2 linked regions of the Oryctolagus cuniculus genome follow. The protein of the gene in region 1 purifies or fractionates together with the protein of each later gene. This does not show direct contact. Links are inferred from orthologs where the notes say so. Each region holds a gene or a part of one and is shown on either strand. Other genes may lie near its edges.

What was found.
Region 2: the proteins of SERTAD4 (region 1) and PPP2R2C purify together in Homo sapiens (affinity purification with mass spectrometry; 3 studies listed by BioGRID and IntAct, counting the BioPlex papers as one, with this or other methods). This does not show direct contact. The link is inferred for Oryctolagus cuniculus from reciprocal best matches to the Homo sapiens genes SERTAD4 and PPP2R2C.

Annotation. Positions count from the first base shown.
Region 1 is NC_091444.1:25,084,564-25,088,366, forward strand, and holds part of SERTAD4 (SERTA domain-containing protein 4), read left to right. Parts: intron 1-2,178; 5' UTR 2,179-2,195; coding exon 2,196-2,370; intron 2,371-3,544; coding exon 3,545-3,660; intron 3,661-3,803.
Region 2 is NC_091433.1:3,537,454-3,541,256, forward strand, and holds part of PPP2R2C (serine/threonine-protein phosphatase 2A 55 kDa regulatory subunit B gamma isoform), read left to right. Parts: intron 1-1,481; coding exon 1,482-1,647; intron 1,648-3,160; coding exon 3,161-3,273; intron 3,274-3,803. UniProt on the Homo sapiens protein: The B regulatory subunit might modulate substrate selectivity and catalytic activity, and might also direct the localization of the catalytic enzyme to a particular subcellular compartment.

The sequences.
Region 1 (3,803 bases):
GAACAAGACTAACACATACCAACTCTGGAGTCCCGGGACAATCCAGAAAGCTACTCTTCAAAAGTCATTGAAATATAAACAAAGTGACCAACATCAAACAGACCAGGATGGAGGATGTCCTAGTAAACACGAGGAGCCTGCCTGAGAATGCTTTTCCTTCCTAAAGGGTGTGGGGTTATCAACCTGCTTTTGTTTATCTGTCAGAAAAGTTCTCCGCAGGCCAGGGCTTGGAAAAGTGAGTGCCAATTTCAAGCTGGATACTATGGTTGCTGCCAATAGGAGAGAGCTACCAACTGATGCAAACTGCTAGCAATAGCATTTTCTGATATGATCATCTCTTAGAATAGGATAAGACATCGGATTACCACATGAGTGTCTTCAAGGAATAAAATACCAGGAGGTTTGATGCCTTGCTTGGATATGAAGTTTAAGGAGTGGGAGAACAGCTAAGTTTGATAAATCAATGTTAGGTTAAATTTCTTGGCTGATGTCTCTGATTCTTTATAGAGAATTAATTGAACCTTTTTTTTTTCTCTTTTGTGACAAGGTTTTCTAGTAAGCCCCTGCTGATGGCTCTGGGAAGAGCTTTGTGAAAGAGGAGGAGGCGGGTTAGCTGCCCAGATCAGCCCCCCTCTAGCCACTGACCTGGATGCTGTTCCTGTATGTCAGAAAGCCTGGCTTCATTCTTCATGGGTTGGAGCCACATTTGAAACCTGAGAGAGAGAGAGGCCTGGGGGAAAGATCGAGTCATTGCTGCCAAGAGCTGCTGTGTTAGCCCCAGCCCATTGTCACTTTAATGAAGCTGTTTGCCCTTCCCCTGGCGATTGCCAGCGTTTCCCTGGGAGTGGACCCTTGTCAAAGCATGTAGGTAATGATAGTCTCCCGCGAGACGATCAGAGAGGCCTCCGCAAAGCGACATGAGCTGTGTCATTTGGAAAAGAAAGCGAGAACCAGACCCTTGGTGTGTAGCTGAAAGACAGTCAATCTTCAGAAAGCCAGGCCTGACATCTCTTTGGTGACAGTTCTTTAAACTGCAAAGTCAGAGAGAGGAGGTTTGGTCTCCTAAGTAACCGGCTGCTCTGCTGGCCCCTCAGTCGTTTCGCTCTGATCGCAGACTTTCTTCTCCCTTGGGCTCAGTCCTCACCCCAGCTTGAGCCCAGCCTAGGACCAGGTGAAGACACGGAACCCCCAGGAAGTGTCCCCCCCCCCATACTCCTACCACCACCGGCCCAGGTATGGGAGACCCAGGAGTGGGGCAGGGCAGAGGTGCCCAGCAGCCTGCTGGACCAGAGGAAGGGCGTGAACTGGAGAGAGGAGCAGCGAGGTGTTGCCTCTTGGAAAGTTCCTGCCTTGTGTCTGGGCTTTTGCAGTGTGAAGAGTTGTTGGCTGCCTCTGGCCCTGGAGCCCTGGCTCCTGTTTAATATTCTGCCTGCTCCGTTGATGTTGTGCTTGGCTCCTGTGGGACTGCAACTCACGGCTTGAAACTGGAGCCAATTTTCTGTCTTCATCTCGCAGTGTTTTGACTGGAGGCAGATCCAGTTCAGGCCGATCAGGGCTGGTGGAAACAACTACCAAGTGTCTCTGTGTCTGCCGCGCTCTGGGAGAAGCTGGAGGGAGCCCCAGAATGTTGGAGAGGAGCTGGCCTTGGCAAGCAGAGGAGGGGGGGCAGGGGGCAGCGGGACACACTGAGCATCTGTTGGAATTACGGTAGAGGGTTCTGCCTCTCCACCCGTTTCTTTTGATTGATTAGCGGATTTCATCAAAGGAGACTCCCAGGGGATCGACTAGAAAATTGATTTTGCCTTATTAATAGAAAAGAAGCGCAAGGGTTTTGGCCCTGCCTCTTAGCGGTGCGTTTTCTGCGGGAAGGTCAGGAGGAAAATGTGTTTAGAAGGCAAAGCAGCTGTCTGGAAGAGGGCTGAGGGGAATCTGAGAACAATAAGAAGTGGGGTTTTAAAGAGCCGCCCATGAAACGTGGCTTGCCGAACACGAAGGCTGAGCTAAATAGCAGCAAGAGAGTTTGCCGAGGTCTTCTCTGGAAAAAATAATCAAACGTTGCAGGGTGAAGGGGCGGACCAAGAAGTAAAAGTTTCCCAAAGCAAAGGGACGAAGATGCCAAGCCCGTCCCCTGGCCCGCTCAGGAGGAGCGCTATTTTCTTTCCCCTTTTTTCTTTCCAGATCTGAGGCTGTCAGCGATGACTCTGGTTCTGTCCATGAATAGATTCTGCGAGCCCATTGTCTCGGAAGGAGCTGCTGAAATTGCCGGATACCAGACGCTATGGGAGGCTGACAGCTGCAGAGGCCTGAGCCCCCCGGGGCCAGCCCAGGCTCCTTCGCAGGGAGACCGGGGGGCCGGGCCCCCTCTGGCAGGTATTCCCCCTTGATCCTCCTGTGCTGCCCTCTGCGGCCAGACTGGTGGACGGGAGGTGGTGGCTGGGGCGCGCTTCTCAGCCCAGAGCTAATGCTCTCAGGGCTTCCAGGGCTGCCCATGCGCCTCTGGAAGTGAGCCCAGGGCGCCCAGGGCATGATGGAAGTGATAGTTGAATCACAGTCCGACCTGCGTCCACCTGTGCCCCTGCTTGCATCTAAGTCGTGCATCAGGATTTTTGAACCAAACCAAATATTGAAACTCTGGGCTTGGTTTTGGGTTTTCTACCCTGTGGTCTGTAGGGTTCTCTCAGGCTGCGCAAGCCCTGGTGGGCGTGACAATGAAACCTGTATCCTGTGAGATATCCAGCTATATGCCTCTTCTCTTCAGAAGTATGCCGTTGGTGCTGGTTCTTGCAGGGGAACAATTTTAAAGCCAAGAAAACAGAAACGTGTTCTTTCTGATCTTTTACTCTTATAGTCTAAGACAAGTTAGTTTGGACTTTTGTGTAGTGCTGGCTATTTAAAAAAAAGAATATAAAACAAGTACTCAATGGAGCATGTTTTGATTTAAAAAAAAAAGCATTCAAAGCTGGGGTCTTTAATAACATGTAGACCTACTTTTAGTCATAATTGACTTGTTACATTTTTGAGAGTGAAAAGGATCCTAGTTACAAGTTTAAATTTTGTATTTTGAAAGAAGGAATGTCATAACTTCAGTGTGTAGGTAATCATCTGTCCAGTAACCTAGAGCCAGTGATACTGGGAAGTCGTTTGGTTCTCAGTGGTTACGGTTAAACATGTATCCTTTGCACAGTGGTGTTATGTTATCATGGATGTAACTAAACAATTTGAGTGAATAGTCATGTTATCTTAGAGTTGTTAATACTCTTCCCCTTTATGAATGTTGATGTTTGCCTGTGCCTAGAACTAAGTAAACTTAGTAAATGTTGAAATATGTCATTTTCTTCTATAATTGCCCAGAAATCCTCACCTAGCCTGGGTCAGGATTCCATGTGATAGCAACTATCAAGATAAATGTTTATTTTTAATCACCACATGCACAGACAAATATGCAGCCAAGTTATCCTCTGGAAGGAAAGGAAAGGAAAGTATTTTGTTTGGAGAACCTCTGGCAAACCGCATGTCATTTGTCATATCTGATTTATTACCACAGGATCACATTACAGGGGAATTTCAAATCCTATAACAACATCCAAGATCACATACTTTAAGAGGAAGTATGTGGAAGAAGAGGATTTTCACCCACCACTCAGCAGCTGTAGCCATAAAGTATGTTTTCTTAATAGTCATTATTTTTATTAAGAGTTTAAGATACTTAAGTAACAGTTGCTTGATCCAGTTCCAGAAATTAAATTGTTTCACCCAAGCAATGAACATGAGCCACTTCTCAGTAGAGCCACATTAATCGTTGT
Region 2 (3,803 bases), on another chromosome or scaffold:
GGAGTCCAGGGGTCCACTCTTGAGGCCATGCCCCGACTCCCCCACTCGGGAGATGTCGCTGACCGCTCACTGGCGCTGCTCTGTCCAGCCCCAGAGAAACCTGCTGCCCGATGCAAGCCTCCAGTTAAGCCTTGTCCTGCCCGGGTGACCAGGCATTGTCCTGGCTAGAGGGGACAGGGAGGGGGCGGTCCAGGTGTCTGTGGCCACACTGGGCTTGACAGCCCCTGACCCCACCCTGCACCGTCAGTCCCCAGGGGGCTTCAGAGCAGTGCCCAGGGGAGCGATTCTGAAACGAAGACCCTCCTGATAAACATCTCCATGCAGACACTGTGCCAAGTGCAGGAGGCAGGGGTGAGGCCGGGGAGGAGGAGGGAAGAGCTGGGGTGGAAGCCCTGCCCCCTTCCGCCTCTCCCAAGCACGGCAGCTCCTAAGGCTGCTCCTTGCTTGCCCTTGGCCTTGACTGGGCACGCCCAGGTGCTGTCGCTAGCCTGGCTCCGCGGCTGAGGAGTTCAGAGCACAGAGGTACCGGTCGCTTGCCAAGGACACACACGCACACAGTCAGGGGCCAGTTTGGCACAGGTGACACTGTGGCCGGCACATGCGCTCCGCCAGGATCGTCACAGGTGGGGCCTGCGCAGGAAGGCCGGCCGCGGCTTTTGTCCCCCAGCCCTAACTTCCACCCCCGGGTCAAATCCGCTCCAAACCGTGGTCCCTGCCTCAGGTCAGGGCAGGTGGACGCGAGGAGGAAGGCAGGGCCGGAGCCCGAGGGTGGTCAGCGCCTCACTGCCGTGAGATAGACCTCGGGGAGTGAGTGCTGGTACTCGGCGGACACACAGCCCGGGAGGCCACTCCCGGCCAAGCTCCACCTGCCGTGTGGAAAGCAGGGGCAGCCCTGGTCCCCCGTCCCCGCAGCAAAGGAGGCCGCGCGGGGAGGAGACGCGATGTGTGGCACACGGCAGGTGCTCTGAGGCTCTGCGGGTGTGAGCCGGCCCCGGTGGGGTTAAGTGGATAAGGCTTGGCTATGGTAGAGAGTGTGTCTGGGAGGGGGGGTTGGCGTTTGGCCTGGGGGTTAAGACACCAGTTCAGATGGCCTGGCCCATATGGGGGTGCCTGGGTCACACTCCCAGCTCTGGGCCCTGGTTTCGGCTTCCTGGGAGGCAGAGGAGCTGGGTCCCTGCCAGCTGCGTGGGGGACGCGGGTTTGGCTCCTGGCTCCTGGCTTCATCGCGCCCCGCGCTGGCTGCTGTGGGGAGTGGCCCGGCAGATGGAAGCCCTGTCCGTCTGTCCGTCTGTCCGTCTCTCTGCCTCTTCTAATCAGGGCAGAGTCCTCTCTGTCGTGTGGCGGGCTCGGGGGCACTCGCCGGCTCCCGGGTGCCGTGGCTGTGTCGGGTCTCAGGTGTTCATGGTCCCAGCCGCTTCCCGCGTGCACCCCCGCCAGGAGCCCGCGCCGGAGCTCAGCCCTTGTCCCGGGTTTCCTTGCAGAGTAAGAATGCGCCCCACAGCCAGGGCGAGTACGACGTCTACAGCACCTTCCAGAGCCACGAGCCCGAGTTCGACTATCTCAAGAGCCTGGAGATAGAGGAGAAGATCAACAAGATCAAGTGGCTGCCGCAGCAGAACGCTGCCCACTCGCTCCTGTCCACCAACGGTGAGCGCCGCGCCGGCTGTGCGCATCGCCTGCGTTTCCCGCCTGTTTCCTAAAAGATGATATTATGAGCAGCTGGTGACGGTGCCCGAGCTTCCATTCCCACTATGGTGGAATGTTCTGGAACACCCCTAAGGGGTGTGGAGAGGCCGGGTCAGCAAGCCCAGTGACCACTGTTCATCGAAGCCCTGAGCCGCCCCGTGGGGGCTGTCACCTGGTGTAGGCTGAGCTGGGGGCCCCTGTGCTGTTCTAGGACCATGGTGCCCAGGGCGAGGACACGCCCACCGGGGCACGCCTGCTGCCCACATCTGCTCCCCCTGCTCAGCCCCTTCACCTCCAGCCCTGCAGGTCAGAGGTGTGGCCCTGTGGCCCTGGGGGGCGTGGCCTGGACCAGGCCGCCAGGCTCTCCCGAGTAGGATCTGTGTTCTGTAAGGGCTGCCCGGCACGGCGGCCACGCCCAGCAAACTTCGGCCAGGAGCAGAGGCGGCCGGGGGTCCCCCCAGCGACAGCCCCCACAGTGGCAGGAGCGTCTGGCGATGCCCGGGCACCTCGCACGAGGCTCCTCCTGTTCCTCTCTCATTTGGGGGGACACGCCCCTCCTGCCCCCTCCTGGGTGGAAGGTCATCCTCGGGGCTCCCCTCCCCACTCCCCGGTAGGATCCCAGCTCCGCCCCTTCTCGCGAACGGCCTTGGGTGCCTGTTAATGGCTGCGTTGTGATCCATTTTCTTCCGAGTCCCATTCATTGAGGTGCAGGTGAGAGAGAGAGAGAGAGAGAGAGAGAGAGAGAAAGACTTGGAGAGGCCCAGGCTCACGGGACAGGCGGAGGCCCGTGCAGTGCCGGCTGCCGCAGGGCTCGGCGAGGGCAGTGTCTGGGCCTCGCTGCTTGGTGAGGCCCGCGCGTGCGGGAGACCCGCCCGCCCCACCAATGCACGTTTTAGTGCCATCTGGGAGTCCTTGACGGCAACACCCTGGACGTGTTTGCCCGAAGGCGGCATCTGGGGGCCGTGGGGACGCCAGCGTGACACCAGCACCAACTCCCCTGCCGCGGCTTCCCTGAGTCCTCACGGGCCTGCAGGGCGGGGGGGGGGGGGGCCCAGAGCCCGGGTCTGGGGAGGGGCTCTGCTTCTTCTGCCTGTCCCCGAGGGGCTTAGGGAAGTAGGCGGCTCACGGGGGTGGCGTCCCTGGTCGAGTGTCTCAGCCATGGCCTAGCAGCCTCCCCTCGGGGTCAGGGTTCAGGGAAGACAAGCGCTGAAAGGTGTCAGCCCGGGAGGAGACACAAAACTTCACGGCACATGAGGCTGAGTGTATTTTGCTGCAAATCCACAGGTTTTTTCCATAATGCACGTCTCCTTGAACTTTGTGAAGGCCCCTCGTGCATCACGGGCGAAATAAGAGAGCAGCGGGGTGTCCAGTCCAGGACTGGGGTGGGGTGGGGGCGGGGTCGCTGGCGCGTGCGCGGTGAGTGGCTGAGTGGACGCTCTGTCCCCTGCTTGTGTGCCCGGTTCTGTTCCCAAAGATAAAACCATCAAGCTATGGAAGATCACCGAGCGAGACAAGAGGCCCGAGGGCTACAACCTGAAGGACGAAGAAGGGAAGCTCAAGGACCTGTCCACGGTGACGTCACTGCAGGTGAGCGGCTGGCCGGCAGGGGGCGCGCTTGTGTGCTTTGTGGGACCTTTGGAGCCAGGGTCAGGCTGGCCTGCTGGCTGGCCGGGGGCAGCTCCCTGCTCCGTGCCTCAGTCTCCTCACCAGCAGAATGGACACGGTTACCTGTGCCCGGGGCATCTGTGAGCACCAGGTGCTTTGCACCTGCTGCCGGGGGTGGACAGCACGTCGGGTGGTCCCTGGTTCTGTGAAGGGGCTGCGCCTCGCTCAGAGCGGCTCAGCTGAGCCTCAGGCCGGAGACGCTGCCAGCTGAGCTGCGAGTGGAGCCGGGGGAGCGTGGCGCCGGCAGCATCAGCAGAGGGCCCGTTTGCAAAATCGCGCTGAGCTGCAGAATGGGGGCAGAGTGAGCGCCCATTCCTTCGCACAACTGAAGGGCAGAAGGATCCATTTCTCCCGACACAGAGTCTGTGAGATGGGGACGAGAGAGGGGAGACACAGGACCGGCCTCAAATCCTGACGGTGTGACCGCGGCCAAGGCCCTGAGCTCGGGAGCC